3 linked regions of the Lepisosteus oculatus genome follow. The main gene of each other region encodes a partner of the protein of the gene in region 2 in a complex. Links are inferred from orthologs where the notes say so. Each region holds a gene or a part of one and is shown on either strand. Other genes may lie near its edges. The genes, in order: brat1, ints11 and wdr73.

The links.
Region 1: the proteins of ints11 (region 2) and brat1 are in contact, whole or in part, in a cryo-EM structure (PDB 8UIB), measured with the Homo sapiens proteins. The link is inferred for Lepisosteus oculatus from reciprocal best matches to the Homo sapiens genes INTS11 and BRAT1. Residues at the interface, in NP_060341.2 of Homo sapiens: Leu9, Val15, Gly16, Lys27, Met35, His36, Met37, Gly38, Phe39, Arg43, Asp47, Tyr50, Thr58, Asp59, Asp62, His70, Leu71, Asp72, His73, Asp87, Gly88, Gln97, Pro101, Ile102, Glu105, Arg108, Lys109, Val112, Asp113, Lys114; in NP_689956.2 of Homo sapiens: Asp25, Thr27, Cys28, Glu30, Lys31, Asp34, Pro117, Ser156, Ser157, Leu158, Phe159, Ser162, Lys358, Ser359, Cys366, Arg367, Arg424, Arg427, Thr465, Lys468, Lys469, Trp514, Glu515, Asp518, Ser519, Glu522, Tyr560, Ser564, Ser604, Glu605.
Region 3: the proteins of ints11 (region 2) and wdr73 are in contact, whole or in part, in a cryo-EM structure (PDB 8R22), measured with the Homo sapiens proteins. The link is inferred for Lepisosteus oculatus from reciprocal best matches to the Homo sapiens genes INTS11 and WDR73. Residues at the interface, in NP_060341.2 of Homo sapiens: Tyr206, Thr208, Thr209, Ile210, Arg211, Asp212, Ser213, Arg215, Cys216, Arg217, Glu218, Arg219, Asp220, Leu222, Lys223, Lys224, His226, Phe255, Arg258, Met259, Leu364, Val384, Glu385, Tyr386, Ser388, Lys418, Lys419, Glu421, Phe422, Gln425; in NP_116245.2 of Homo sapiens: Asp5, Asp6, Leu8, Val9, Ser11, Leu12, Tyr15, Gln16, Phe18, Tyr19, Ala20, Phe21, Asp22, Leu23, Glu50, Leu52, Arg59, Leu68, Phe69, Pro70, Glu71, Arg72, Asp73, Phe74, Lys75, Val76, Gly79, Phe81, Asp116, Ser117.

The regions. Positions count from the first base shown.
Region 1 is NC_090714.1:9,158,067-9,168,558, forward strand, and holds the start of brat1 (BRCA1-associated ATM activator 1), read left to right. Parts: upstream 1-5,159; 5' UTR 5,160-5,309; coding exon 5,310-5,348; exon of another isoform or gene 5,349-5,559; intron 5,560-7,146; coding exon 7,147-7,285; intron 7,286-7,761; coding exon 7,762-7,916; intron 7,917-8,441; coding exon 8,442-8,589; intron 8,590-10,153; coding exon 10,154-10,492. Other genes in the region: eif3ba (eukaryotic translation initiation factor 3, subunit Ba), read right to left, coding at 9-140, 926-1,083, 1,628-1,756, 2,227-2,284, 2,753-2,872, 3,382-3,574, 4,667-4,769. UniProt on the Homo sapiens protein: Component of a multiprotein complex required for the assembly of the RNA endonuclease module of the integrator complex.
Region 2 is NC_090720.1:10,496,739-10,507,973, reverse strand, and holds the start of ints11 (integrator complex subunit 11), read left to right. Parts: upstream 1-6,657; 5' UTR 6,658-6,708; intron 6,709-6,853; exon of another isoform or gene 6,854-7,007; intron 7,008-7,348; 5' UTR 7,349-7,417; coding exon 7,418-7,445; intron 7,446-7,945; coding exon 7,946-8,043; intron 8,044-8,659; coding exon 8,660-8,733; intron 8,734-9,627; coding exon 9,628-9,856; intron 9,857-10,737; coding exon 10,738-10,836; intron 10,837-11,235. Other genes in the region: cptp (ceramide-1-phosphate transfer protein), read right to left, coding at 3,785-4,307, 6,369-6,496.
Region 3 is NC_090700.1:1,908,901-1,919,317, forward strand, and holds wdr73 (WD repeat-containing protein 73), read left to right. Parts: upstream 1-5,116; 5' UTR 5,117-5,163; coding exon 5,164-5,222; intron 5,223-5,602; coding exon 5,603-5,670; intron 5,671-5,785; coding exon 5,786-5,877; intron 5,878-6,704; coding exon 6,705-6,793; intron 6,794-7,027; coding exon 7,028-7,095; intron 7,096-7,417; coding exon 7,418-7,579; intron 7,580-7,702; coding exon 7,703-8,071; intron 8,072-8,680; coding exon 8,681-8,922; 3' UTR 8,923-10,021; downstream 10,022-10,417. Other genes in the region: defbl3 (beta-defensin-like 3), read left to right, coding at 257-368, 800-821. UniProt on the Homo sapiens protein: Component of a multiprotein complex required for the assembly of the RNA endonuclease module of the integrator complex. Associates with INTS9 and INTS11 in the cytoplasm, stabilizing the INTS9-INTS11 heterodimer and blocking the active site of INTS11.

The sequences.
Region 1 (10,492 bases), on a different chromosome or scaffold from region 2:
CAACTCACTTGAAAATTGGCCAGTGGGCTGAGCTCTCACAATGGAAACCCCTCTTCTTCTGCCCAGTCAGAATATCCCAGATGATAATAGCTTGGGGGTCATCTTTTGTGTCCATTAGAGGACTGAATGTAACCATGTACCTGTAATTGAAAACACAATTAAAATCTTTTATGCATATGTGCAGAACAGTTACATAAATTCACATACAAAAACATTTTAAGATCATAGAACCAAAAACGTGAAAACAATCATGTAATAACCAAACAACACACATTTCAATTTAATGCAGTTTCACCTAATGTTTTCACCTGAGGTGGATGCTGCACATTGGTGGTGGTGGAGGGGAGTCCCGATTACCTGTAAAGCGCTTCGAGTGGAGTGTCCAGAAAAGCGCTTTATAAGTGTAAGCAATTATTATTATTGTTTTTAAAGAAGGTGAAGCAGGAAACAAGATGTTACTTTTTTGGCATGTTGTGGTTAGTCTCCAAAGTTCGTTTTGATTCAACTCTGATATATTACTCTACACAAATGAAAATCTTTACTTCCACGTATACAGTTTTCTTTCTACTCCTTTATCCAAAAGATATGTGCAGGCTGAACAAGTTTTTATACGATCCTTGCAGAGAAGGCTTAAAACTGTAGTTTCCTTACACAGCAAACATGCACCACCAAGATTCTTTCCAAAGCTCACAATAAAAACATTTTTATTTTTACGGTCCACCCAGATGTGTAGAACAGCCTCTTTTTGGCTGTAATCTTCTTTGTGATCCTAAAGCATAGCATTAAATTGACATATTTGGGATTTAAAAATGCCTTATGTCCAGCTGTTACCTGTTGGATAAACATTTTAAAAATCCAGAAATAAAAAAATTACTTTAAGAAAAAATCTTGATCACTGTGATAATGATAATGGCAATTCTTTCACCTTTCACATGGTGAGAAGTCAATGAGTTGAACACCCTGATGGCTAAACCTCTGAATCTGCTTGAACTTCTCTCCTCCCCATAAAGCAATACCCCTCTGATGGAATGTAGCCAGATAAGTGCCTTTTGGAGACCAACGAACATAGGTCTCTGTCCAGCGCTGTAGACAACAACAACGAAGAATTATATTCAATTAGATGAATTAAAGACATTTTATTACAGTAAAATGAAACCGATGAACATACATTTCTGTTAGGGATGTGAAAGTACAATATTAGAAGATTGTAGACGTTTTTTTTACATGTTCATTAATGCTGTGCACCACATTAGTGCAAATGCTATCTACATTAAAATGCATCCGAATTGACCTATTTTTGCATATGGAATTCTTATCCTTCTCCACTACTTCTCAGAGTATTTTATTTAAAAATTCCATCTTGGCACAAAACAAACCAAGACTGCCTCTGTGGGTAGACTATTTTACTTATCACATTCAATACTCCAAACTATATTGCCTCCAAAAAAGGTGTCAATGTGAGCATTATATTAATTAAAATGGCCATGTTAAGAACATAAGTACATACACATTAAAAGTTCAGTTCAAGTGGACATGTCTTGGAAGGTCTCCTTTTATGTGACTCTTACTTTATGATGGTCACATGGGCAAAATACAGAGAGTAGTCTTGCCTTTGTAAACTACTTACAGCTCTCTCCTCGATCGTAATTGGTTCCTTGACATCATTGGAGAAAATGCCTGTCCTTTCACCAGCTTCAAAAATCACACTATACTGATCACGGCAGTCAGAATCTTCAAGCCAGTACCGTAGATTCCCCTTAAATTAGAATAATCCAAATTGGACGATCACAAAATTGTTATTAGTCATCAGAACTGATACTTAAATCATCAAATCTTTTTAAATAGATTTAAAAGATGAGATTTGACTGACTTTATGTTTTCCCAAGTGTTTGAAGATGTTAAATTTATGATCTTTAAACTGAACATTAAATAAGCAAACAGAGTTTGCAACAAACTTCACTGCTTTTATAACTTTTTTTACTTTGAGGTCATAAGGCCAGCCACCAAATGTAACAAAATACTTAAATGCTAAAAGAGAAATTAAAATAAAATACTTTTCAGTATAATTTTAATGTTTGTACAATAATTTGCTGGCCTTAATGTGTTAAAATGTGTTAAAGAGGATGGTAGTCTCAAAAGTGCAGCATCACTTACAGATATAACATTTGCAGTGATAACTGTATAGGCAATCCTGAATGATATACACAAATTAGTAATGATACTTACAAAGTCTTTGAATGGCTGTTTTTCAGGGGTTTCCCATTCATCACTGATATTCATGTACCTATACAAAAATAATGCTAATTAAAAAATAGCAACACTAACAATATCAACAAGAGTAGTTCAGGTGGGTAGCTGCGTCTGCATGCGTAGGCTGCAAAGGAACAAGTAATAGGTTTATTCCATGCTGAAAAAAAGAAGAAAGAGAAGAAAGAGAACACAACGTTTCGAAACGTTGTGTTCTCTTTCTTCTTTTTTTCAGCATGGAATAAACCTAATATCAACAAGAGTTTGCAAGTTCACATACTACCTCTAATCAGGTTTCCTATAAATAAATCTCAAAAGAGCATTTACAGAAATGGGGAGATGACTGTTCAGTAATTCTATCCAATCCATAATACCCTTAGTGTTTTTCAATCCCATCTCCAGCAGGTACCCATCTGAACAAACTCCCTTGGATGTATCACTTAGAGGCAAAGAAAAAAGCGGAGACATACAGTACACAGTGTATAAATGAAAATAAATTGCTCACTTGTCGAAGTCTGTAAAGATATTGACTCGGAAGGTGTGCTGTTTGTCCAGCTTGTAGCCATCTGCATTTTTCACTGCTTCCAGAGCATGAGCTGGCGATGCATACTCCAGAAAAATGTACCTAAACACAAGTGTTACACAAGAGAAATACAATGAAGCACAACTACCTACAAACTTCCCCAGAAGACATGATTTACTTTTAATATAGTCTTACACAACAACAAATCAATAATAGATGTTTGCCTTCAAAATAATTTGTAAGAGCTGTATTATTCCTCAAAGCAAGTTCTTAATAGCTAATAACCTGGATATAAATCTAGAACATACCTGAGTTTAACTTCAAGTCCAAATAACTTTTAATAGCATGAATAACAAAAAACAATCTATACGTAGAATAATTAATCTATATATAATTAATAACTATACCATTATATTAAAATAACTTATTTTGCATACATAAATAATTGCACAGCAGTAGTACACACATTCAGTAGAACCAGACTAAATACAATGAAAATAAAGTTATAAATGCATTAATGAGAATAAATCAATGAGTGTACATACATATTCATGTAGTAAATGTTGAATGCAATTTTTTAAAGAGCAAAATGATAAATATGCAATACAAACCCTTTTGTCTTTCCTTCAGCTTCTGGATAAAACTCATTTGTAATCTTGCCAAATCTTGAGAAAATTTTATGTATGACATTTTTCAATTTCTCTAAGCGCTCTGGTCCAACTTGAGGAACGTTGTCAACCACAATAACCGAGTCAATACCGTCCGCCTCTTGGGGCCTCTCCCTCAGAATATCAGCCAACAGTTCTGAAAAACAGGCAGAAATACAGTTCCAAGAGCAGTACATCAGTTATCAGTAAAGCCCAACTACAGTTAGTTATTTTTGAGTACACACCCACAAAATGCGAGATCCATGTTTTATTGTAGACAGCATCATCTGTACTTTAACACAGCAGCAGGCTTAATATTTTTTATTTCAGTAATTAAGTTGAACTATAAACGTAATATAGTTCGGCGGTTTATAAAAACACAGTGACATTACTTCCGTTCACAGTTCAATGAGCATACAGTGCTTTTACCAATGCAATTTCAGTAACGATAGATGAGCGCTGCTTATCTTTCATTATAAATATGTAACTAACATCCACTTTTACACCAGATTGGTGTAATTTCGTCATTTTACTCAATTTAATTTTAATTATACATTTCAGTTTAAAAAGTTCCTTAATAACATGTTGGAGTAAAAAACTCCAAAATATTGGTAACACTTCAGAACATTATAAAATAGTCAGGATTGCGTTAAATAAACCTGTACATTATCTGTCCGGTAAAGATCAACTACAGGTCGAAAAGCGACTCATTTGCCTATAACGAACATATTGGAATACCGTTACAGAAACTTGCAACGAAATATAAATGTACAATAGACAGCCACCTGAAAAGACATTTCTACACCTTTTAAATATAAGAATAATACATTTAATTTGAAAATTAAAAAAACCGTAGTAACTCTAATTTACTCTATATATACACCTTGCTGCATACTCAACACTGAATTACTGAGGTCTTTGTTACTATACGACCGAACATTCAATCTATAACGTTAGTGTTACTTAAGAATGTGTTACTCGTGTCCTTAAACTGGTTGCTTTCTTATCATTTTTAACTTATACATCCAGCTGCGACATGCTCGCTTCGTCAATGACTCCACAACCGGGCAGAAACTGTTAAAAATTGAGTGCCTTGAACGGAAATGCACGATTTAGTGCCTTTATTTTTAGGCCGCGAGTTGTACCATCGTTACATTTAACAGTAAGAAAGCTTATTAAATAGCGCTTATTTTTATTTGAGTTATTCCAACCAGGCCGCAAAGCCGGGTGCTTTCCTCCGCTCGATTACCCTGTTCACTGATGTCATCCACAAAATCCTCTGGGTCACTGAAGGATAGCTCTTCACCCTCTTCAAACTCGGCTTCGGCCGCCATGTTCTCCGTATCCCGCATTTAAAGCTTTACCCTTTCAATAGATTTATGGAAAATTAATATGACCAGCTTTTCTATCAAATAATCTAGATATTTGCTCAGCAGGCCATGTGCACGACAACCGGCGCGAGCCAACTTCCAGTGAAAAGGGACTCAACCTTTTCGGAGGGATGGGGGTAAGGATTAACAGGTAGTGTTTTCTAAACACGTAAAACGAAAACACCTATCAAAACCTCGATCTTATAATATAATAGAAATGACAATTTTATTATAATATTTCTAGCATATACTGAAGGTGAAAAAATTGAATACTCTATTAAATATTTCCCCTCACACAATTTGGTTCGTTCTAAAAATGGATGCCTCCAGATTATTTCCTGTTACAGGAGGAAGTGCTTGAGAAATGTAAGAAGGGTTGGGCTTTTCACAAATCCCAAATTCGGAGATTTTATTGATTGTGATGTGTTAGTCATCGTAAATTATGTTAAACTGAGAAACGTTTAAATGTAGAATCTCTATATTTGTTTTATTGTAGAAGTCTGTAACTATCTTTGATTGTTTATGATTAGTAAGGACAGAAGAGCACGTGGTAAAATGAATGTGTGTTGTGTACTTTAATTTTCTCTTTAATTTTTGTGAATTCTTATTCTTAACCAAAGTAAAGTTGTAGCTACACGTGACTTAAACACTAGATTGGGATCCCACCCTTCACTTTTCAGACGTTAACGACAATTTTTCGTTGAACGTATATCTACGCCTCGGCGTTCATCTTTGTGTTTGCCACAATAAGATAAGGAAGCTGCAAACTCCGGTATTGTTAAACCCGTTGTGTTTTAATGCGCATAATTACTTTACTGACCCAAATAATCGCATGTTACTGTACAGAGGAAAATAGCAAATGACATTTTATTAGGTCCCTGTTATGTTTAGAATTTGTATTAGTTTTCGATGCGTTTACTTCTAACTCTAAATGGGAAAATAATTCTTATGGCACAGGCATCATCTTACTAATTACTACTATTTACTTAATGAAAAATTGTGATTACTAATAATTCAAGAAATTAGGTTAAAATTAATATTATAGCAAATTGTCATTTAGATCCCTCAATTCAAAACCTGAAGGTGCTTAAATTCTTATAAGACTCAATTAAGATTATGTGTTCTGAATTTAGATGATTTATAGGAACACGTAAAGGTTTGTTCAATGCTGAAAAGAGAAGAAAAGAAACAACGTTTCGGCTGTAGCTCCTTTTTCAGGTGTGAGAGAGGAAAATCGGCAGTTGATAAAGCACAGGAGAACAAAAGCTGCAGAGGAGGTGGGAGCAGGAGAGAAGCAGAGTGGACACTCAGGTGGTTTGAAATTAAGAGAGGTGAACAGAGGTGTGAAGTCAAAACCTGCAGATGAATACAGAGGATTAGAAGGAAACAAGTCTGTCAATGAGAAAAGGGGGAAGGTGTGATCCTAGTTTCAGAATAATTTTGGTTTTGGATGCAATAGGAGATCCGAACCCCCTCTTTGAGAACAAAGATGGAAAGATCAGTATGATCATGGCTGTTAGCGATGAAATGGGAAACTGTGGGCTTGGAGAGATCTTTGATCCTCACAGCCCTGACATGTTCCCTGAAATGGTCTCTCAGTCTCCTTCCTGTTTCACCAGTGTAAATAGCTGGGCATTTTCTTTAAGAGATGCAGTAAATAAATTTGTTGGAGATACAAGATGTCATCTGAGTGATCCAGAATTGTCCAGATGGGCCTTGAATGTGCATGGTATTGGATATATATTTTCAGGTGATGCAGCGAGTTCTGTTGCAGGGGAAGGTTCTTGGTGTGGATGATTGCTGACTGCGGTCAAGAGAGCAGTATACTATAAGGTTAGATTAGGTAGTTGGCAATATGAGATGGCGGGGCGTTTTACGAAAAAATGAGTGCCAGTGGAGGGATCATCCTTTAAGATGTGGAAGTTGTCATTAATGGTCCTGGGGATAGAAAGGGTGTTAAGGTGGTTGGGAAGCACCACGGGAATGTGGTTGTGAAGCCGGGAACTCCTAATTGAGTTGATGGTCTGAGGGCTATTTTTGGCTCTGGGAAGGGCCCTGTCAATAATATGGGTGGAGTATCCTCTGTTAATGAAAAAATTGTGCATTTTAAGGGCTTGGTTTTGGAAGTCAGTGTCACTGCAAAGTTGTCAGAACCTGAGAAGCTGTGAAAAGGGGACAGAATTTTTAGTATGTGTGGGCTGAAATGAGCTGTACAGAAGGTAGCTGTATGAGTTTGTAATAGAAGTAGAGATGATTTATATCTGTTATTTTGGGGGAAGTGCACATTATTTAATTGAAAACTTACTAATTAACTTGTATGTTGTTAATGAGAATATTAAAACTTGTTTTCGGATTCCAGATAACCAAAACAATGGATAGTGAATGTGCAGAGCTGCTACCTCTTGTCTGTACAGTTCTTGTTAATCCAAAGCAGTCACTCCCTGATGATACCTGCTTTGAGAAGCTGCTGGACTGGTTTAAAGACCTAACAAAAAAGGGTGAGCTATTGAAACAGACTGAAAGCTGTAATTTTCAAAGGGACTATAATATTCACACTCAATTATACAGTTAAGGGTTTTTTTAAAGGAAACTGAGAGATCAATAAATGTGCACCACTAGAGAAGATTCTCAGACAATCCTCAGTGGAACAATTCAGGTGTTGAACACTTTAATGTGTTAATTAGGTTTAGTCAGCCTAATACTAAACTAGATTGTGACATATTGGTCACGTTTGCAAAGTACAGCTGGCATGAAAAGGGAATATTGATGGCTACTTAATTTGCCAAGTTAGGTACGGTGCACTTACTGGCTTTGAAGCTGCTGGTATTGGCTATTCAGTAACACTAGTAAGTCTAGTTTTAAACACACTAAGATGGAGGTATTATTTTAAGCATAGGTAGTGAATTCATCTTCAGTTATACTTCATTTTTAAAAGTTGAATATATAATATTATGCTTTATTTCTTCTTTTTTAGTATCTGGGGCATCTTTGCTGCAGCACAATCCATGTTTAACTGAATTGATATCCAGTGTGTGTAAATTGAAGACAAATGAACCCACTGTTCTCTCCTTTGTACTGAGACTGGTTGGGATCTTAGCTGCTACTGAAGAGGGATTTTGCTTTTTAGAGGTAAATTGATCAAAGCCACTCTTGAAGTTTTCTTTACATACAATTCCTGGAAGTGTGCTACAGGAAAATTATTTCATACCTAATATATTTCATTTGGTAGCTTTTAACTTTGTGTTCTAAAAGTTTAGCCTATAAAAAACCTTTTTGCTGGCAATATAGCTCTTACAAAGTATTGTAGATAAAATGTAAGACATAATCATCATTTTGGAAGAGGAACTGACTGTGTTCTGCTAACTTTACATACAGCTGTGTTTTTTCAGATTGGAGCAGCTCTAGCAGGAATATTTAAACAGAATATGATATAACTTTTAAATTATAAACTTTTCAGATACTGGCTTTTCAATCTCTCCTGTTTCTCTTGTTGCTTGATTGCCACATGAAAAAGAAACAATGCCTGAAATAAGTAGGCTGAATCTCAGTGCTCAGGGGTTAGTGTTGGCAGTCTTCATTGGAGATATCATAATTAGGATGCTTGAAATGTAGAAATTGAATAGCCTGAATTGTGAAAACTTTTGTCATCTTCAGGAACAGGACATTTTGCACAGTCTCTTTGGAAACCCAGGCCTGACCCACACAGAGCTGTGGGATGAGGCAATAGTGCGCAGTGGGTGGATCAATGGATTATGGAGCATGCTCCAGCACTGGAGGGTTATGCATTTCATCATAATGAACGGTGGGAATTGCACATAGTAATGCACATAAAATTAATTTAACTTTAAATGTAACCATTTTACTCTTTCCCCAATATGTCATTTTACAGCTCCTTTCCTATGAACTTGAAACATCCGAATAATGAAGACATTGTACTCTGTCCAAATGATCAAGTCTGCCATCCAATGACCATTTGTCTCCAAACTAAATATTGGGAAAGCTATGAAATGACATAATTAAATAGGATTGCATAGCAGTGTCTTTTTAATTTAATCATAAGACACCTTTTTAAAAATAATTTTAATTCATACATGCAGATTTTTAAGGTGATAAAATGCAGAATTGAGAATTTTCTGCTAATTTAAATTTGTAGGGAGGGTGTGTGTTTTATTCTAAAATTGTGATGTATTTCAGCATTTTTACATAGACAAAAATGCAGACCTAAAAAAGGTCTGTTAGTTCAGTCAGAGATCTAATAATAATAATAATAATAATAATAATTGCTTTTACTTATATAGCGCTTTTCTGGACACTCCACTCAAAGCGCTTTACAGGTAATGGGGACTCCCCTCCACCACCACCAATCTTGAAGAATTTCTAAAAAATGGAGACCTTAATCCTTTCAAAGTTGAAAATTAATTTAGCCACTGATTAAGAGCTTGCTGGAACGAAAGCCAGAAGGTGGATCCCTCACAAGAAAGACTTAGACTTAGAACCACTTCTCTATCCTCTGTCCAAACTTACAACAGACACAGTTACTCTCTGAGATCCTTTTCTAATCCTCTCTAAGTGTAGACTGTAGATCTCCCCTGAACTCTGGTCACTAACAATATCTAGGATTGTGTGTTTAATTAAATGTGAGCCTTCATTTGGTTCACTTTTTGGGGCAGTGCAGTGGCTCTGTGGCTAAGGATCTGCGCCTGTGGCTAGAAGGTTGCCAGTTCAAATCCCACAGCCGGCAGAAGAATCCTACTCCGTTGGGCCCCTGAGCAAGGCCCTTAACCTCAACTGCTCCAGGGGTGCCGAACAATGGCAGACCCTGCGCTCTGACCTCAAGCTTCTCTCCCTGTCTGTGTGTCTCATGGAGAGCAAGCTGGGGTATTCGAAAAGATAATTCCTAATGCAAGACATTGTAAAGGGTTAATAAAGTGATGTTATTATATATTATTATTATTTTCTTCTGGGGATCCCCTTGAGACTTATTAATTAAGGGGTTTGAGAAAGTTCAAGTAGGTAGCTGCATCAGCATGTATGGGCTGCAATGAAACAAGTAAAAAGTTTATTTCATGCTGAAAAGAGAAGAAATGAAACGTTTCGCCTTCGGAAGAAAACTCCACTTGTTTCATTATGGTGTTTGGTTTGTGAAGTTTTCACATGATATAAGGCCCTCTTGTGTCACTAACTGGTACCGTGCTTTTCTTTTGATTTTATATTACAAATTGTATAATTAGACAAAGAAATAAGCTAGCTTTGAAAAATAAAATCAGTTACAATGGCAAATGCCTTATATGTCAAATGTTGAGGGTCTGCCTCCCAAACCTAATTCAGTACTTATTTTGCACTTTGGATTGTTCTTTTTTTCACAGATTTTACTAAAATGATCCTGAATTTACAAATAGACAGAAGCCTCTTTGTTGCTTCAGCAGCTAATCAGCTTTTGGCTCACATTTTAAACTTCCCAAAGAAAGTACCTGCACATTCATCTTCAGACAACAGTGATATTTGGCAGAACTCTGTGGCCTGTGAATGTAACACCTATGCTGAACAAACTGAATGGGCTAACTGCAGCATTAAAATTGCACAACATTTGGGAGATGCACTGCATTCTGACATCTCCTTCCACACCCATCAGTCCTTAAGGCTCCTGACTTTGGCTCTGGTACACTGCCAGCCGCAGGTCATGGAAGTACTCTGGCAGAAGACGG
Region 2 (11,235 bases):
GTAAAGTGCTTTGAGTGGCGTGTCCAGAAAAGCATTCTATAAGAGTAAGCTATTATTATTATTGAAGGAGGCCCTGAGGCAGTCCACAGTAGAATCCCTTGGCATGTATATAGGTATCGGTGCAGTGGAGAACCAGGGTAGCTGCCCTAGTGAGTCAGTGCAGGTATCTGTGGGTGTGGTCACTGAGGCGGAACAAACATCATAACTTAGTTTTGTTTTCTGTCACAGGTGTCAGGTTCTTTTCAGGTACCAGGTACAGCACTATATGATCTTACAAAGCCCGACTGCCTCATACTGAAATTTGCAGAAAGCTTGTGTTGGGCATAGGAAATCAATTGCTAATTGGTGTCACAGGCCATATATGCCTCCATTCACACTTACAGCTGAAGCCCCGAGATGGGAGAAATATACTTCATCCCTGCTAGGTGTTTGGTTTTTACATTGGACAAAAACGAGCATGCTTGCAGCAAAAACATTTTTTATTGTTTTTTTTTTGTAATTAAATTGAGAATTCCACATTACAAACTTGTTTCTTGAGGATATTTTTCTTAAGTTAAGCAATTTGAACTCAAGCCCCAAAAGTATATAAATTTACCAGTATGCAAACGTGGTTCATGACCACATCAAATTCTAAAAAATAATTTTGCAAATACTGCAGCTTAATAACCATGCACCAAAACCTAAAACAGTGTAATTAGACTTGTAGTGAATATTATTCTGAATTATATCAAATACTATTGTAGTAGAGATAAATCTAAAAATCTGTTTTTAAATATTAAACTTATTCTCTCCATTCACTGGAGCATCTTCATTTTGATTGATGTTCAACAGCCCACTTTGTTTTCAACCTGTAAAATAGTTGCCCGTTTATAGTACAAACATTTTAGAACAGACCTAAGGGCTACAAATTCAGTCCTACATGTATCTAATCCTAAACCTCTGCTTTAAGTCCCCACCATAGGGCATAGAATGTCAAGAGAAAAGTGCAAATATAACAGAAAAAGATTAGGAAAATAACTAAAGTTACAACAGTGGGTGGGGCTCTAGACTTGCATATTCAAATCACACTTGTTACAATTGCAACACTGCTGTTGTATCCTTGAGCAAGATAATTTGCTGAGGGCTCTGGTGAAATGCGCTATAGTACAAATTAGTACACCCATAGGTTGCTTTTGCTGTAATACAATTCAAATTGGTAGCAAGTGCAAACAGTCGATTGAACAGACCCCACATAAAGGAAACGTCCTTTGTTTAAAAAGGCTCTGGCCTTTCATGCAACATGACAAATCTCTTAACCAAAATCCACAAAAAGGACTTTTAAAATTGAGACTTTCACAAAAAAAATCTAAAATATTGCCGTAAAAAAAGCAGGGGAGGCAAAAGATCCCAATTTTAAAAATCTCTCTTAAACTATGTACATTACACTAGATTTCTTTAAATGAAATAGTAGCCTATTATTTTTGTTGGGATTTCTGGCATAAGGTCAATAATGCATAACGCGCGATGAGGAAATCATGCTTAGCATTTTGACGCATAGATTTTTACAGAGCAAAGGATGTGCCTCACTTTAAATTCAAGTGGGAGACGAAGACGGGAGGGAAGTTCGAGTGACTGACCAGTGCTCTTGGTTCCCTTTACACGGGGTGGCATTTTAAATTTTGCAAAAGACATAAGATGGGGGAAAAAGACAACTTTTTAAGGTTTGAACCCACAATCAAATGTAACTGATCTTATATTTACTAGTATGTCCATAATACTCTTCCCATATTGTTGCAGTACCAAAGACACCATACAATGCAGAGACGGATGCAAACATTTAAAATTGTTAGTGCAAATTCCCTTTTCTTGACAAAGACATTTCCATATGGAATCAGCTTATTCCAGCTATGTAAAAAAAATCCCAGGCCTTTTTTGTTTTTGTTGGCCATGTAAACAACAACATTTTCCTTCAGAACGTCACACTCAGAAGTGATAAAAGATGACTCAACTTTTCAGCGTTTTTTCAAACGCATTCATATGCTCACACCAGAAAACGACAAGTCTGTGAAGCAAGCCGACTCCCTCTTAACTTGTAACACGTAATAAGTGCAATTCTTTAAGAGGCTTTGTTCATTAGTCCTATATGGCTTTTTAAAGTGCTGACTTCTTAAAAGGTTGCAGTTCTAGAGATCACAAAATATTCAGCCCAGTGCCTCTAGATTTACTCCCCTGCATCAGGGAACCTAAACCCCTCAATGACTAAAGACTTGGAACAGCTGATAATTCAATTACTCACTAAAAGCCTTGGTAGATTGAAACAAAAACATCCTATTGGTTCTCCTGGCCCAGGAGCGAGGATCACTGCCAAGTTTAAAATACATTACTCTTTTCTGTCCCATTCAATTAGCCTTTTGTTTTTAAAGCAGCACTTACTTTTTAGAAACGTCAGTGATGTATCGTTGATCAAGAGTCGGCTGTATCTAATTCTACTCAAAGGGGATAGGGGCAGATGTTACTGCTTGTGACCACTGGCAAAAGCAACTGTTGATTTGTTCATTTCAGCTTCCAGCCAACCTCACTGGGGGGGGGGAGGATTAGGGAACATTCAGGATCCGGGTTTAGAAGTGGCTGTCCCACGCGCCTGCGCTAGAAAGGACTAGAAGGGACAGTTTAGTTGTTTAACTTTCCGATTTATCAGGATGATGGGGTCTTTTTAACTGTTTTCAGCTGAAAGGTCAAATCCCCTCATTCCATTTAAGTAAAAAAAAAAAATTGGTCCTTCCTGGTTGAGTCTCATGAAGTAGCTCTTTTAAAAAGAAGATTCAGGTCCAGATGAAATCAAAGCTGTGACCCATCCGTCAAATTCAAATTCTCAAACCAGATTGCCTTAACGTACAATAGCACCAATGCCCCAGGGTGGGATTTAGGATTTAGGTCTCCATTTTGCTTTTGAGGTACCCACCCATCCATATATCCAGTAGATGGTTTATGCATCTAGTGGATTTATGGAAGGATTCCACAGAAGCAGACCTCCACAATTATTAAAAACGTGGTGGAAGACTACTTATTGAAGGCTGTCAGTGCAAGAATTCTTAAAGAATTATAAAGAATTCTTAGTGGCCTTTAATCATGATGGGATCTTTTTTTTTACTGTACAGACTCTACAGAAGGTGCACGCTTATAGCCCAGAAGTAGAGTACGTTCTGATCTTTGATCAGTGTTATAGAATAACTGGTTATAAAATCATGTAGTGTGGTTTCAAAAAATGTTACACATTTGTATAACTCTCGTTGAGTGACATTCCTGTAAATTTTACTTTCTTTTGCTCATCCTCCCAAACTTAACAAGAAGTATGAACTTTTGACACCGCCTTTCAAGATGTTGAATAAAAGGGGAGGTGCATTTGTGTGCTTGAGAAGCTCATTAAGGAAGCTAGCTGTCTAACACCGCATATATATAGTACAGAAACATCACTATCCAGACTCCCAACACCTCTGGATGACCTCCATCATCAAGAGTGAGGTACCAGCGGCGACACCCATTCACCAAATATCAGTTCTTCCCCTGCAAAACAAAGATCTGGAAAAACCACTTCTTTGTTACTTAAGAGCCATATTCATCCGACTTGAACCCTCACAATTCTAGCGCAGTGGAAAAATTAACAATTCCCCAAAAAACGAAGTAGTATTTGAGTGTGATTAAAAAAACAAAACAGGCGCACTGTCCAGAATGTGCTTGAAAACAGTGGTCTGCAAGAAAGAGAGCGGTGGTCCCATCTCCAGGTTCATCTTCAGCTGCACCTGCGCTAAGGCAAGTCCAGCAGGTTGTTCTTGGCATACAGCTCCTCTGTGATCTGGTAGACCTCGGCGATGAGGGGCAGGGCCTCCCCCAGCATCGTCACCACCTGGTCAGGTGTGCCCACGTTCATGACCTCGAAGAAGGTGGCCCGCCCGGGGAGAGCACAGAAGGCCATGAGCGAAGCCTTGCGGATGATCCAGGGGTGGTGGTGAGCCAGGGACTCGTTGTAGGCCTCCGCGCACATGGCAGACGTCTTCCCGTCCTCGCCGCTGGTCCGCAGTCTCTCCAGGAAGAGCTCCAGCCAGCGCAGGGCGCGGTGCAGCCTCAGGGTGGTCCGGCAGCCCGACTCGGGGTGGTCCGCCCTCTTGGTGAGGTCCACCAGCCCGTGGGCCAGCTCGTACTTCACCATGGACTGGACGGTCTCGTACTGCTCTCCGTGCTCGCCCTTGCGATGGTTGGCCATGATCTGGATCTTGCCGACGGCATCTTTGGAGATGAAGGAGAAGATGGTGCCGAGGCTGTTCATGAACCTTGAAGAGACCACGTGCAGAAGGTTGAGACAAAGCTACTGAGGTTTCGTTGCCACTAGTTTGATCTATTGATGGTCTTATTTAAATAAGTAATAGGTTTATTCCATGCTGGGGGAAAAAAAGAAGAAAGAAAACGCAACGTTTCGGCCGTGGAGCCTTCTTCAGGGTTCTTCAACCCTCACACCTGAAGAAGGCTCCACGGCCAAAACGTTGCGTTTTCTTTCTTCTTTTTTTCAGCATGGAATAAACCTATTACTTGTCCCATTTGCAGCCTACGCATGCTGACGCAGCTACCCACCTGAACTACTTATTTAAATAACTATGCATTTAGAAAATGCTTTTATTTAAGTCGGAGCCATTTACAGCCAGGAGGAGAGGGACGTTTATGAATAACTGTTGCCAAAAAAAAAAGAGGTAAATATTCAAACTCGCTCCCTGGAAATACTCCATTTACAATCGGTATTAGTATTGCAGTATTTTCACCAAACCTAACTTTCCCAGAGCAGCCCCTGAGGAGACTAACCTGCAGTGTTAGCTGAAACCCTCAACCTGTGAGGCTAAGGGCGTTTCTCAATGATATGATTAAATCTTTGCTGCCTGGTGTGCCTGGTGCATTGGTTAGCACTGTCACGTTTTGTTTTGCACTTCAACAATGATGCTTTTCTCTCTCCCTGCTGTGCTCTCTGTGTAACAATGATGACCCTGCCAAGAGGCATTCACCAGTGATCGTTTCAACTGGCTTGTCTTGCTAAAGAGAGGATTCTTGCTTCTTTATACAGTAGCAATTTCTATTTCCGATACTGTTGGCTAATGATGCTGTCGACCGTTGGTCTCGCAGGCATGAAAGAACTTGGATGGCATCCTCTTCTGTATTTCCCCGCTGCAGACAGGATCAGGATCTCCAGCTGGCGAGACCCTGATGACAGCAGCAGGCTTCAGCCTGTTACCTCAACTGCAAAATGAACTCCCCTTTCTGTACAGCACCCTTTACAACACATTGTCACGTAGTGTTTACCTGTCATGTATACATTTATATACTGTAGGGTTATACAGTACATTAACTAAAAAGGAAATTCGATTAAGTGGGTGTAAAGTAGGGCAGCGTGGTGATGCAGGGGTTAACACTGCTGCCTTGCAGGGCTGGGCCCTTGGGTGCTGTTTGTATGTTCTCCCTGTGTACAGGTGGGTTTCCTCCGGGTGTTCCAGTTTATTCCTACAGTCCAAAATTATACTGGTTGGTGAATTGGCTTCTGGGAAAATTGGCCCTGGTGTGAATGTGTGTTTGTCTGTGTTTGGTTTCCAGGAGCTTCTGCCTTGTCCCCGTTGCTTGCTGGGATAGGCTCTGGGTCCCCTGCAAACCTGAACTGAATAAAGCAGTTAGAAAATGGATGAAGGGATGCAGGTTTCAGAATCTGAATTGGATAGATGGGACACAGGTCTGACTTCATCTCGACCTAAATTTTATTTTAAAAAAAAACAGCTGCTTCATTAGGCTCATCAATGCATGCTTGAGAGGATGAGTGTTCATCCAAAAATCATCCATTTATCTCTGCTGCTGGTCTCTCCACTACTAAACTGTCATTATATAAATATAATGACATAAATATAGACTATCATCTGGATATAAAATAATATTTACAGATGTTCTAGTTTAATTGTCGGGGTAATTAAAACACAGTTTAATCATTAATCAAGTGTCAAAATGTAGACTTATCCATTGATTACTGTGTTCAACGTTCAACAGATCGTTTCCGTTTGCAATATTCACATCACTGACTGGCTGCCTGCCTGCGCTCAATTAGTTAGAATACGTTGACAATTAAAAATTAAAACCGTTTAAGTACTAAATGTTTTAATGTTCACGCCCAGCCGTTTAGAGTCCTATTTTTAGAAAAAAATAGTTTTGACAACTGCTACGAAGAAATTAACTAAAGTTAATCCGATGTTTGAAATAGAAACGTTTTCACAATTATTTTTCAGAGTTCACCCGAATTTATTCTGGCCGTTTAACACAGTAACATCAAACACTAGTTAAACCTGAAATCACCATGGAAGACTCACCTTACAAGTCCTCGCCACCCCGCCACGTACTGATCGATTAAAATCTCCTTGTTGTCTGTGAGACAGGACTGGAAAGTGTCCAGCACCTCTTTCAAACTAAATTTCTGGTCCTCCACCACATCAGCCATGTTTACCCGGAAGCAGGAAAGCACACCAAGCTTGACAAGAAAAATCAGCTGACGTAAATCTATGTGAACATAAATGAAGACGTGAAGTAACTTTGTGATGTTTTCTTTTTTTTTTTACAAAAAAAAGGCAGATTTTTTTTTTACTTTCATGCAAACGGTCAGCTGATCTCACATCTCCACACACAGCCTTCGCTTCTTCACTGGTTTATACGGTAACCGGAGTGTTATCTTTTGCTTTCTCAACCGAACAGTAAATCTCTTTACCCCACCTTCCGCTTGTTTCTATTGGTTACATTTTGTGCATCGTTTGTCAACTGCTCTAGTATTTGACGCTGATTGGGCTGTGCTGTTGTCAATCAAAGAGAAATCGCGTGGTGGGTGTCATTGCATACAAGATGGCAGCGTACAGCAGATGAAGTTGATTTTTTTAAAAGATTACCCCACTAGTAGAAAACCAGACTTGAACATTGTTAAGGTGATAACATTTTCATACCCGTCATTTTACGTCGAAGTAAGTGATTTACTTATGCATTGAAGATCTCTGATGGAATTTATAGCATTTTAAACTGGAAAACGTTTTAGAATCATGTTTGATTCTGAAGTTAAACGCTTTAAATCCTTTTACTTGAATGTATTAATTTGTGGTTCTCTCTCTTGTTTTCGTTCTCAATTGTTGTTTTACATATTCCAACTAAGCCTTTGCTAGGTCCCCGAGGTGAAAGGACTTGATGCCTGATTGAATCTAATTGCATATGCTGCGTGAAGCATTGAGGTGGTTTTTAGATTTCCAATGAATGATGGTTATCCGTCATTAAGTTGAAAATAAACACTTGTGGTTTCCCCTTCATGCAGATGGGTACAATCTTTTGCAACAACTGACCGTGATCACGCCGGTAGAAAGAAAGCGAGCGTTTCTACAGGATGCCCGAGATAAAAGTAACTCCTTTAGGTAAGATGTCAGTAGCAAACGGTGTAAGTGATATAGTTCTTCACTGAGTAATATCCGTGTTTGTCCTGCATTTGAAACGGTCCTGTGAGTTTGTAGATAAGTACAACAGTGCTTTACAGTACTCTGGCTCATACTTCAGCGGAGTTAGAATGAGAAGAAATGACAGAATCTCAGCAGAAGCAATTTCGAATAACTATAACACTTTGAAACCATTGGGTCAACCTAAGTTCTACTTCATTGATGTGTTGTCAGACTCAGAATGTAGTACACCTACAGTATGAGCCCCACAGAGACCAATATAGTGTATTGCCTTTGGAAATGCTGTGGTGGGTGCAGACGTGTCTTGTGCTAATGTAGATTGCATATCTAACATGCAGTTTACTACCATTGAAATAAAACATTTATGCGATCGGCATTGCCCTTATTCCCTCTGCAAGTTTTGTGTGGCCTAGTAGTGCGTATGGATTGTTGCCCGAAGTAACGTCTTTCCTGTCTTGCAGGTGCTGGCCAGGATGTGGGGCGAAGCTGTATCTTGGTTTCCATTGGTGGCAAGAATGTCATGCTGGATTGTGGGATGCACATGGGATACAATGATGACGTGAGCAGTTTTGAACTGTGGATCACCTTGTCTTAACATAACATTCCCTGTGAAATTGTGTCACTGTAGGAAATTGTTCTTTTTGTTGACGTTTTGACTGCATACACTTCTTTTTATCACCCAATTATGTAGTTCTGTTTCATGTTTGCCTTAGTGTTTAATGTCCTGTTTTCTGTTTCAGTTAGGGCCCTTTAATAGCTATTTCTATTTATTGTAGTTTTAAAATGTTTTGGGGAGACATATTGGTGAAGTGGTTGCCTTGCGACGCTGAGACCCCGGGTTCAATTCTTAGGGTTCTGTCTGTGTGGAGTCTGTATGTTCTCCACTGGTTTGTGTGGCTGTCTTCCCGGTGCCCTGGTTTCATCCCGCAGTGTAAAGACATACTGGGGTCTGGGAAAATTGGCCCTGGGTGTCAGCGTGTGCATATTTGTGTCTGTGTGTGCCCGGTGACGGACTGGTGTCCCGTCCAGGCTGTATCCTGCCTTGTGTTCGTTGCTTGCTGGGATACCTTCTGACTCCCCTGTGACCCCGTAGGGGATGAAGTGGCTTAGAACAAGGGTGGATGGATGAATATTACAATATCGCAAACTATTGTATCTTTTGTTTGTTTTATCAGAGGCGTTTCCCAGATTTCTCCTACATTACACAGAACGGACGGCTAACAGAGTTTCTGGATTGTGTCATCATAAGGTTTGACCTTTATAATTTTCTAGACATTTAACCCCATCCAAAGTCTGGAAATTTTCAAGTCCAATGTTGATTCAAAGATCACTTTGAAACCTGCTGGAATCCAGCACTTGAGGACCAAGATCTATGCCTTCCTAAGGATCTCCATGTAACCTTTTCACTTGATGAGTATATCGGTGCATTTATTTTATTGGTGCCTTTATGTTTACAGCCAGTATTGACGAAGCAAATAAAAAATCTAAACAATCCTAAAGACAGCCATATTAAGGACAAACGTAACAGTGTGAAATTGTGCATAGCTGTTAAAAATGGAGTGTTTTGCTGGTTCGCTTCATTGTTTAAGCTCCCAAAGAATGTACTTCAAAGACACAAAATCTATTTAATGTTTTGTGGGTGGTGTGTGATTATAGTGAGGTTTTGAATGGCGATATGTGAACTGTTTCATGGGGAAGCTGTCTGAGTGTGAATTATCCCTGCCCTTATAGTGTCTATTAGGAACTTATTGTCTCATTTTTAATATTGCATGAACGCGCCAGTGTGGTTTGAGGTGGGAACTGAGCATGCCTGGGAGTTGGCAGAGTGGCATAGATGAGACCAGTGTTTGGAACATAGCTGAGGCTTTACAGGTTGCACAGTTATTCCCATTTACCGGATGCCACCGAGATTGTTGATTTAAAGTCCTTTGGCTTGGCATGTTCCTTGAGTTGTGCAGAACCAGAACTGATAAACACCCGGTGGTTTTGAAAGCTCGAAAGTACTAAACGTCCACAAACGTTTGTGAAGTATACCAAATTGATACTAAAGAGATAAACGAGGAAGCTCATTTCTGTTATTGCCCAGGAAGTGCTTTATGTTTTGATAAAGATGAGACATGATATTCCGCTCTTTGTCTCTCAGCCATTTCCACCTGGATCACTGTGGCGCCCTCCCCTACATGAGTGAGATGGTGGGCTACGATGGGCCTATATACATGACCCACCCCACCAAGGCCATCTGCCCAATCCTGCTGGAGGACTTCCGGAAGATCACCGTGGACAAGAAGGGAGAGACCAACTTCTTCACCTCGCAGATGATCAAAGACTGCATGAAGAAAGTGGTGGCCATAAATCTCCATCAGACAGTCCAGGTGACCTTTTCACTGCCGATTTTCACTTTGCAGAAATCCGACTTGGGAAGTTGTATTTTCACTTGAGCGGTTTCATTTGCTGCCCACCAAAAAACAACTGTTTCAGTTCATTGGGAGTATTTTTGCCAACCTTCATTGCAAGCAAAGTGGTTCATCTTGGGTACCTCTAAAAGAAATCTAAGTCTTTGTAAACCAAAGGCAGCAAATTTTAACGCTTTAATCTACGAAAGGGATTCCTAATAATAATAATAATAATAATAATAATAATAATTAATAATTAATAATTAATAATTGCTTACACTTATATAGCGCTTTTCTGGACACTCCACTCAAAGCCAGTTACACGTAATGGGGATCCCCTCCACCACCACCAGTGTGCAGCCCCACCTGGATGATGCGACGGCAGCCATAGTGCGCCAGAATGCTCACCACACACCAGCTCTCAGTGGGGAGGAGAGCAGAGTAATGAAGCCAATTCATAAATGGGGATTATAAGGAGGCCACAATTGGTAAGGGCCAATGGGAAATGTGGCCGTGACGCTGGGGTTACACCCCTACTCTTTTTGAGAAACACCCTGGGAGTTTTAATGACCACAGAGAGTCAGGACCTCAGTTTTACATCTCATCCTTAAGGACGGTGCCTGTTTACAATATAGTGTCCCCATCACTATACTGGGGCATTAGGACCCACATAGACCGCATGAACATGCTTATCCACAGATTTTGTGTGCACAGTTTTTAAACACTTGAATACCTTGAGATTTTTTCTGATACTTATAGTAATGCAAAGAAGCATGTATTACATTTTGGTGTTTGTTGTCTTAAGAATGGAGCATGTTCATGTGAAGGGAACGGTGCTATATAAGGGTTTTTGTCTGTAGGTGGATGACGAGTTGGAGATTAAAGCCTACTATGCAGGCCACGTATTGGGAGCTGCCATGGTACAGATTAAAGTTGGGTCAGAGTCTGTGGTCTACACTGTAAGTAAAGAGCACAAGTCTTCCTGTGGCCTATGTGTTACTTAAGGGAATAACTTGCATAGTGCGTGTACACTTTTTTCTCTCAACATAATTGAACCCTGCATCTAAAAGTGTATGATCATCTATTGCAAGTTAGGATGCTAATTGATTTTCTGTGTCTTTGATTAACTTGTCTTCAGCGTAATAAACTGTAGGGATACACACAGTTGTAACATGATGTTGTTGGAGCACACATTGTATGTCTAATTAAGTAGGTAAGACTGTGATGCTGTTTACACACCAAAATAATTTCCTATCTGCCTTTAAGTAGAGTTATTTGATGTTACCCATGAGACTGGTCTTGAGAAGATATTCAAGATTTACTTGACAAATACAGTATTTAATTTTACTCTTTATGTA
Region 3 (10,417 bases), on a different chromosome or scaffold from region 2:
TTCAGGACCTGTCTTTCTTCACCCAGCCTTTACTGAGGTGTGAGCATCTGGGCTCTGGAGACTGTGTTTCCTCGGGTGTCTGTTTCTGGGAGTAAAGTGTAACCTGGTTGTTTCTGCCGAATTCTGCAGAGGAGGACTAAGGTGAAATTCGGCAAGGAAGCTGTTTGATTCTGAGGGAGAAATCACCATTCTTACCCTGTGATTTAATTCTGTGCTCCTCTCTTGTGATCGTTTGTCCTGCGTTATCTTTGCAAAGATGAAGATGTGGAGGTGAATTTCTGGTCCTGTGGCTACAGAAGGTACTGCCGTCGGTTCTGCTATGCCCAGGAATACACAGTGGGTCACCATGGGTGTCCTCGCAGATACAGGTACTGGAATCATGCTGCTATGTTCTTGGTGTTCTGGATTTTCGGCATCTGCTGTATTACAGGCATTTATGTTTTCACCCGTTGCCATAGTGACGACACAGTCTGATAGGCAATGTGCTTGCCGTGATGTAACATTCTCTTGTCAGATAAATTAGTACATGTTCGATGCCTCTCGTGTGTTTCAAACACGACCAAGAGACAACATGAGCAAGAGCAAGAGGAGAACTGCTTAAAGTTTGTATTTATTACATATGCACTCACAAAAAATAAATACAAAAATGCTTTAATCAGGATTATTTTTAGCTTTGTAGCATACTGGCCTCCATGCCCAGTATTATACAATGTTTACTACTGATCTTTGAGAATTTGTGAAAAGCATGTTAAAATGCAGCAATGCAGTGCTGATCGTGATGTTTTTTTATCTTTTCCAGATGCTGTGCTTTGCGATATTAGGAAATGCTGTTCAGATCAGCGTAACCCACAGGATATCTCGTGTGATCAGACTGACCATTCCTACAGGATCTCCGCTGTAAACAGATCAAGGTGCAAGAGGGCCAATCCTGCCTCCAGGCAGAGTCCACATGTGATATGATTTCATTTTGCAAACTGTATCTGGAAAAATACCCGTACCAATTACTGTATGTGAAGCTTCCAAAACAGCTCCACGATAAAAATAGATTGCACTATTAAGACACAATTAAAACACAATAATTGCCCATTTAAATGCAATTTTGTCATTTTAAATTCAGTAATATTTATTTTATATTTTTAATTTAATTCAGAAAAATAATAAAAAACGGTCTTTCCTGTGGCAGTGGGTCACCCCACATCAGGTGCTGTGCCATGGACTTGTATAAGGTACGTTAGCTTTGATTTAAAACAAATGAACTCCGGTAAAGTTTAGATCACGCTCAAGAAAAACAAATATCTGCTCATGTGGCAAAGTTGAACTACAAATAGCAGCCAAGCCTAATCACTAAAACATTAAATGACGTGGAAAATCGCTCTCGACCCCAGATGACCACATTAGCAAAAACAATTTTGCTAATGTACTTTCACAGTTTTGAATAAGCCTGCTGGGGAGAGTGGGTAGAGAAATATGGAGCAGAAGCAGAGCTGCTGAATCTTTTTGTCACTGAGCTGCGAGTTTAGCGTGACGCACTGCTGTGGTTTTTTTTGAAAGGACTGTGATCTCAAAGGTCCTGCGTGCACAGAATGCAGTATTTGCGAAATAGCTACGTTCTCTTTCTTGAACAATATTATTATTGGGTGCCATGACAGATAGAGCTAAAGATGCTACATTACGTTGGCTCATAGGAGGTCACAGATGAGTGAAGAGTGTTTGGGCCGTCTAGCCTGTTTGGTAGTTAGTTACTCACTGAACCGCAGATCCCAACCAGCCATTTCTTGAAGGAATCCGCAATGAGCTGAAGTGCGGTGCAACAGTCCAGCTTGGTGACACCTTAGTGTGAAAGGACCAGACCAACAGATGTCTGTTTTTCACACACGTTTACACAGACAGACGTTCTAGTTCCTTGATTATGGTTTCAATAATTGAAAATAAATAATTCTAGAACACAATCTCAAAATATATTTTTTTTACTGCCTGGGTTTCTGCCACAGCTACCAAAACAAACGACTTTGGCATCCCAGGTAGTGTTGGCAGGCAGACCATCATTAGCTGTTTTTGTTGCTAAAATATCTTCTTTATGTTTCTATACTTATTTCTGCTTGTTTGTTGCCATCCAGTCTCTGCCATATTGTCACAGATTATTGTTCTGATGTAGTTTGGCTTGTTTTTAAAATAAAAACCTTCCAAGTGTAAACAAGTGTGTTTTCTACTTTCTCAGCATTATCTTAAAATAAATTCCACTCAACACAGTAATGTTCAAGTCATAATCGTACTGCATAAGCTCATAGATATTCCATGGCATTTCTCATGGGACATAACATTTCTTTTGAGCATTGCAAATAATGTTTATGTCTAAAATTACAATCTGAGCAATAAATGAATTCCACACTCTTCTAGACAAAGGAGACAGAACCAGTAGGGAGGCACAGAGTAAAGAACAGAGTCTGGCAGGGGACAGAGGAAGCGATATCAGAGCCAGCTGGCAGGTCAGGATTTTTCCTGTAAACACAGTAGTTTTTATCCCCCTGTCTGCTGCTTGAATATGCATTACTGATGCCACTCCTGATGGGTGTAGTTATCCTATTTATATTTCATCCCTTGTCCAAAACAGTTGATGTGAGGATTTCAAACTCCTTAGTTAAATTCATGTCTCCGCCAAGAAATGGCTGTCTTATGCTCTGAGAAGGCCTTAAAATAAACAAGATGTTTCACACCCGCACTGCACATTTTCCTGAGGGGTTCGCCTTTTTCACTTACACACAGTTTGTGTTGATGAAAACAGATGCCTGTAACATTTTTCCCAAGACCCCACTTGAATCAAAACTGAACGCAGTAGACACAGCAGACTACTGGAGACCATGTATTGTAGTGTACATACTGTAAAAACCCATGCTGACAGTGCCTTCTTGTTGCAGGAGGCCTTATTTCAAGAGTTTAGGACACACTCATGCATGCACAACCACCCTATCACCATGAAAACACTTTATTATCCACAAACACCACGAATTGCCAACATGTGGGAATGTTCACTCAACCATTCAATCACTAATCCCAGCAGTGGCTAATAAACACCCAGTGAATTTGTTTACAAGAGCTAGCCATATTTGGCGGCCTCTGGTGGTGTTTTTCTGTTACTACGCTGTACAGCCCAGCCTGCCTTTTTTGCATAAACTTTTCTTAAATGACTTTCGAAAGTCTTTTAAAATCAAGTCAGGCTGCCTGGGGTATCCAGTGATGGATATATATATATACACACAAAGAAAATCATGGTGAAGGCCTTCTTTATAAGGTTAAATTACGTGAGGCCAACAGCATGGACAGCTCACACAGTATCATGCCATTCAGAGAAAATCTTAATGATTTAATGAGAGTTGTAAATTAGAACGACTTTCACATCTATTTTTTGAAGATCATGGTAAATGATGATATTTAAATGTCTTTTATCCTACACTTTGGAAGAATTCTAAAGAATAAAACCTAATGTACTGTATATAAATCTCCTATTAAGGTATAAAGTATTGAAATCCACAATCAACTTAAAACTTAAAAGAAAACAAAAGAATATGTAATTCATATGGTAAACAAAATAGTACATAAGTGCTTTTATACTCCATTCTCTTTTTATATTTAAAGATCTTTGGTAAAGATATTTGGTATTTGAAAATGTTTGAAATGGTGATTTTAATGAGACAATGCAGTCAACTCGCTGACTATCATAAGAAACAACATTTTTTAAATTTCTCTCATCATGGCACTGAACGTCAATGGCCTTTGCAATTCTGAGATGTTCTCACACTAAATATTTTTTCGTTGAAGCCCTTACCTTCAAAAATGACAAGATGCATTTGTACAGCATGAAAAAGTAACATTAATCACACACAATTAATATTAAATTAAATCAACCACTGCACAATTTCACTGACATCTTAAAAGACCATGATTTTACAAGCATAGGGAGATATTTTTCATACGAGAGGAAATCAAGCTAGCTGGGACAACATAGTGTGCATTGGACAGCTCTGGCTCAGTAGTAGTTAAAGTTCCCGATTGGCATCTGTAAACATGTGCTACACAGTGCAACCTCATTGTCGTCTGGGTAATCACTCAATCTTTGTGCTTGTGTAACTCAGTCAGCACAGTGTGACACAGCCACAATAGCGCAAACCCCCTGCAAATCTGTTTACATGAGGCTTTCTCTGTACACAATAATATCAACACAGACCACAGACAGCCCCATCTGGTCCAAACCAGTGTTGGATTTTGGAGGGAAAAAAGAATGAACTTTTGATCTCCAAAGGATTCTTAGGTAACTGATTTATTTTTAAATCTGTTTAAACCCCCCTAGCTTTTACATTTAAAATAGGTCTGGTGACACTCAATTGATCTGAACACCACAATGGACTGGTGGGGTTTAATTATGGTGACACTACTCTTTATTTGCTGTTGAGAAAAGGAACTATGTGTCCTACATTTAATCGTTAATCCCAATGCCCAGTGCTCACGACTACATTCACACCTAAAGACTCAAAACCCACAGTGACAACAGAAACCTACTTTAAATACAAATAAAATGTTTGAACTAAGAACTGCATTAGTAATTCTGTGTAAGGGGGGTCTGTTTGTTTATCCAAATATAATTTGTATTCTGTGCTGCGCGTTTCGGAAATATTTACATTGCAATTAATTTGTATCTTTAAATATGAGCTTTGATTTAGAATAACGCGTATGAGAAACCACATGAATGAAATCGCTAAAATCACTAAAACTTCGAATTATGCAGAGACTGACTTATGCAAAGAATTTTAGTTTTTCACATACTGGAAGTATAAACTGTATTGTAAGCAGCTACTATTATACTTGTGCATCTTAAAAAAATATGGACATTGGATAGTGGCTGCACATCTGAGTTTGGAAAAATGTCAATTAAACACGGGAATACTGTCCATATAGGGAAAAAATAGACCCCTTAAGAAATTCACTAAAACCTGACCGTTGATTGCATATTAATTGTAAACGAGTGCTATTGTGTGTGAGCTGTGTGCTTTAAATACACGACTCACAATACCTCAGCTATCTCACAGTTTGCAGGTCTCGCAGCACGTGATTCTCCGTGACCCGGAAGCAGTTGTGGAAACATAGGCTTGCACTTCCTACTTCGCCACCATGGAGCCATCCGTGTATGAAGATGAGGTTGATGACTGGTTTATCGAATCCTTACATCTGTGAGAAAACCATATTATTAAACAGCGAACGAGGAAACGTGTTGCCTCAGTACTTGATGTAGTGTTATGGCCATGCTGTAACCTCTAGTGTGCACGTATTCCTTGCAGTGACTTTCTCTTTTTTCATTATTAATAACCAAACCAAGAAAAGAGCACCACGCGACATATAGTGCAAATTATATTAGGTATTGTATGAAATGCGAGCTGAATTGAGACGTCCGATTTACAAACCAGGAAAGCAATGCACTTACGATTGCAAATTAGTGTGTAATGTTTACAGTATGGCTATGATGCTATCGTGCAGTCCAGCTGCAACACAGAATAGAGCCCCTTTAGAGCAATGCAGTACCGTCGTAGTGACATTGTAATCTTCTGCGCAGGTATGGGGATCTCCATTTGTTTGAACTTCAAGATCCGACACGAGTCATCGAATGGACTGGAGGAAAAAGTAAAATGGACTGAAACATTTAAATTTCTTTAGAAGTGGTTGTAGTTTCACTGGTTTGACAAGTATTATGCTGTTTGCTGAGATGCTACTGTGTGTGTATTTGTGTCCTCCGCAGGTATCTGTGTAGCTGGCTATGGAGCTAGTAGCACAAGGAATGAAATCCTGCAGCTGGCACTGCCTCAGAAACTCTTCGTGAAAGAAAACCAGGTAAAGACTGTCTCGGTAATGGTGCTCTTACGGCCTGGCAGAAGTGTTTTCACCAGTGTAATTTGGAGCTAGGAAAGAACACCATGAATATACCCTGATTACGGTTAGAAACAAGACTGGCGGTTGGCACCTTGCAAATACAATAGTGACGTTCTGTAACAGTTTATGGAGCGTCTTATAACTAAAGATCCTGTTATCGTAGAGATATTGAATCACAGCTTATCCATGAGGTAGGAAACAGATTTTTAAAGCATGTTAGAATGATTGAGTTCTGTCGAAAGATCCCTCTGGGGACAGACCAGGCCTTGCTGAACTTCTGGGATGTGACAGGATCAGACAAGGTGGTAATGCTACCTTATGTTTACTACAATATTTTTGTCACAAAAATGTGTGCCCTATAGCATGACCTTCCAGCTTGGTCACACGTGGACTTTACAGCAGGTTAACAATGCAAAGTCTGCTTCAGAAAGGTCAGAAGGTCAAGATAGCATGTCTGTGTTCGTGCTTGTTCATCACACTCGCCCGGATCACTCTGAAGGGCTTCTAGATTTCAGTCCTTCTGGGACACTTAAGTTGTTCACTTAATTGGTCTCTATTACCAGTGCCTCCAGGTCTCTACCCAATAAGGATTATAAGGTACCCATGAAGTGTGTGGCTCCAGGAGCAGGAGTGAATGTCACTGTGTCTGGTAGAAGACTCGTGGAATGAGCTGCAGAGAGCGGATGTTTAGAAACAGACCACCCTTTAGATGCAGTTCATCAGGGACGTGAATAACACTGGTGTCCGACTTTGTGGAAAATACAGCACTTCGTCCCGTTTCTCCTCAGGGCCTGTGCCCTGAACGAGACTTCAAGGTGGAGCACGGTGGCTTCTCAGACACGCCCATCGATTGCCTGAAGCATGTCTCTGGAACAAGGTAGGTTTGTAAAACATACCTGCAGCAGCCTGAGCACCGAAACCTTCTTGCACGGAAAAACAGAAAAAACACTTTTTTTTCAGCCATACAAGTTAAAACGGGGGTGGCGTCAAATGAAAGGAAATACAATCTATGCAGATTACATTAATGGGACTAAAAGGATCAGATACCAAGACAACTATGTACCTTTCCTCTACATGAACAGCTTCCCTGTTTTCCTTTTCCTGTGTTAAGGACGCTGGTGTCCAGTGGTCCCTCAGACAACACTCTGCACATCTGGCAGATAGGAGACGAAGACAGCGGTGAGGATCTTGTTCATTCCAAGTGCTTGGAATGACTAACAGTCTGTTTAATCTCTTTATTTTACTGTACTAGATTGTCTTCTATCTTTTCTAAACAAAGGAGAATAACTTATTTATTATACAAATTAATCATTGCTTCTTGGGGCCTGATTGGATGTTTCATGTATTTCTTTCATAAGAACGTAGGAAGGATCAGCTTTGAAATACTCATATCAAAGCATTGCTTACATTTCAGATGTCATGTAGATCTTTTTTTGACACTGCGTGCTGCACCTCCAGTATCCACAGCTCTGCTTATGTTTTACCTCTTGCTGGGTGGTAGATGTCATCAGAAGAGCCGGAGTGATCGAACCGGAGGTCCGGGTGAAGGCAGGGAGCAGGGTTGCCTCCGGGGTTTCCAGGACGCCTTGTGTCCTTCATGCCTCTCGGATCAAAGACCTGCAGATCACCGAGCTGGAATCGCGACGGGTGCTCTACTCAGTGGGTAACTGAGAGCTTGTGCATTGGACTTGTGGGTGTGGGTGGGTGGCCAGAGCTGTGTAAGCGATGCACCTCCATGTGAAATCGCTTCAGAGTCAGTTCGTGACGGAAGCTTTTATTTCCCCAGCTGCAGACTGCGCGGACAGGGTGAGCGGCCTGGAGTTCCTGGCCGCCGACGTGTTCCTGGTCTGCGCAGACAGCGGGGGCCTGTGGCTGTGCGACGTGAGGGACCCCGCCGGTCTGCGGCCCACAGCCACCCCCGAGGGGCAGGGCCCGCGCTGGCGCATGGGGGTAAAGAAGGGGCATTCCCACGTGGAGGCTGCCTCCGGCACTGTGGCGCGGCTGTCCTCCTCCTGCCAGGTCCTCGTCACAGATCTGCGGAGTCCGAGAAGCCCCATGTGCCAAGCCAGGCTGAATATTCACCACGACAGCCCCAGTGCTGACTTTATGGCTGTGACCTGGGCTCCGGCTTTAGACGACTGTCTGGCTGTGTCAGGTAAGCAACATTATACGTCTCCTGGTCTAGAGCACCTACTGCCTGCAGGACCTCGAAGTCTGTTCCACTTGGTGCAATGGTTGGAAACCTGGTGCAAAATTCAGACATCCAGTGTGAACTCTACCAGGCTGCTGTTCAGAATGTTACTTTACTGATAAACAATCAGAGGCTTCAAAATATCATCCCAATATCCGGCCATGAAGGAGGCCTTCTGCTGGTACACGAAGGAGAGGTGCTTGTACTGATGTTCAGAGGTGAGAATCAGGAGAGAGTCACTTGCTTTGACTTGGGAAGATTATAGGTCGAAAGAGGGGGCCTGCCAAGTCAATGCACAGCAGTGTTTGCTTACAAAAATATAGTGGACGCACTTTGTCCATGATTTTTCAGTACTGTAGGGGGATAAGTGAATATATGTGCATTATGACAAGTAAGGTACTGTAGATACATTTAAAAACGTGGGTTTGTGGCAGTTCAGGCGGTTGCAATCTACTGCTTTCACAACACTGAAGTGGAAGACATTCTCTCTGCGCACTCCATCTTTTGCTTCACCACAGCCGTGTGAATGGCTCGAAACGAGAGAATGAGCTTTTTTCTCCCTCTGGCCGTCAGGTTTCGACGGAGCTGTGCGCGTGTACGAAACAAAGGCCTGGAGCCCGAACGCCGCGGAAGCAGAGCCTCTGTTTGTTCACAAGGGCCACAGCCTGTCGCACGGGCCCGAGAGCGGCCGGGGCGCGGCTGTGGTCACCACACACGTCTGGCACCCCTGGAAACCCAGGACAGTGCTGTCTGCAGCCACCAATGGGTCTCTGCATGTCTGGGACTGGGTCGACAACCAGGCCAGGGGCCGGTAAAGGCAACGGAGCATTTCACAGGAACCTGCCTTTGGATTGGGGGGCGGTGGAACACTTCCCCTGCCCCAATGTGAAGAAACTGGGCATCTTGTCCAATGAGGTTTCTAAAGGTTGTGGAAAAAACTGTACACTCAAAGACTGCTATCAGCATGACTGTAGCCTGTGCTCTTTTTGGGTACTGCAGGAAAAAGTCAAATGAATCATTTACTGTATACTTGATTTTCACAGCTATTTTTTTTTGTATATATAAACCTCAATTCTGCTGCTGCTGAAAGGAGTAGCATATTTTTTTCCTTGTGAGATTAATCAAAATTCTAATGAGAAAACCTTCTGCAGCCTAACACATAGTAATGCACAACACCTTATTAGTTCCTTTAACGTAATGCCTAACCTGGCTGCTTTACAGGTAATTGGGCTAATTCTGTTTCAGGATACTGACTTGCAGTTTTAATTTTCTTTATGTAATTTAACAAAGCATCTTTCAACAGCTTCAAACAAGGATGGCTTGTCCTTAGGATTGTTTCAGTATCTTTCACAACTTTTACTGCAGTGAAGTAAACTTAATTTGTACACAGCTTTTTGTGTTAGAATATTAAGTTTCATACTTTAAACTGTCAATACTGTCTTTCATCAGCAAGATATCTTATTCCCAAGTTAAGTGTAATTTATATATCCCTTTAATGGAAAGATCATAAGAGAATCATTGGCTTTTATATGCAACAATTCATTCAAAGCCTTCACTACTGGTTTGTATCATAATATTGATGTTATTTATACTTCTTAGTCTGCTTGCAAAGAAAGAAGGTGATGATTAGATTTTTAAAAGAAAATCAAATTTGCAATTGCTTAAATACCCTTTGCTAGAACATCTTTAAATCAGTAGAAGTACAAAATACACTATTTTGTATCTATTTTCTGTAATGGACTCTTTACTTTGTAAAGGCAAAATGACTATTGATCTTACTCTTGTGACCAACTGTTGAGATCTTTAATGACCAAGTAATCAGGACTCCAGTTGAATATACTTTTTTATGTATAAAGACAAAAACATTAACACATTGTATTTTGCACATTTTTATTAAAAGCCTTTTTCAGTGAATGGTTTCTTATGGAACATCTACTGAAAGGACTGAACTTTACAATCAATAGAAATCTCAAAGAATTACTTAATGTTTGGAAGGCATCTGATGCCCAAGACCTTGCATAAAAGAAATCTAGTTGTTGATTCAGCACAGCTCATATTTCATATTTGCAGTAGTAAAGCATTTTTATGATGGCAGTGAAATTTAAACCATAGACTCATGCTGTATACAAGAGTAATGCAACACCTTACTTGAATGTCTTTGCCAGTTTCTCATGTGTTGTTTTAAGTTTTCCAGTCATGTGCTGGTGAATTAACTCAGCAAAGCCTAGTTTCACGGGTTATTTTTGGCCATTAAAATAGCTCCTTCCCTTTGAGATGCAGTAACGCCTCGCTCTGTGCTGAGGACGTGTT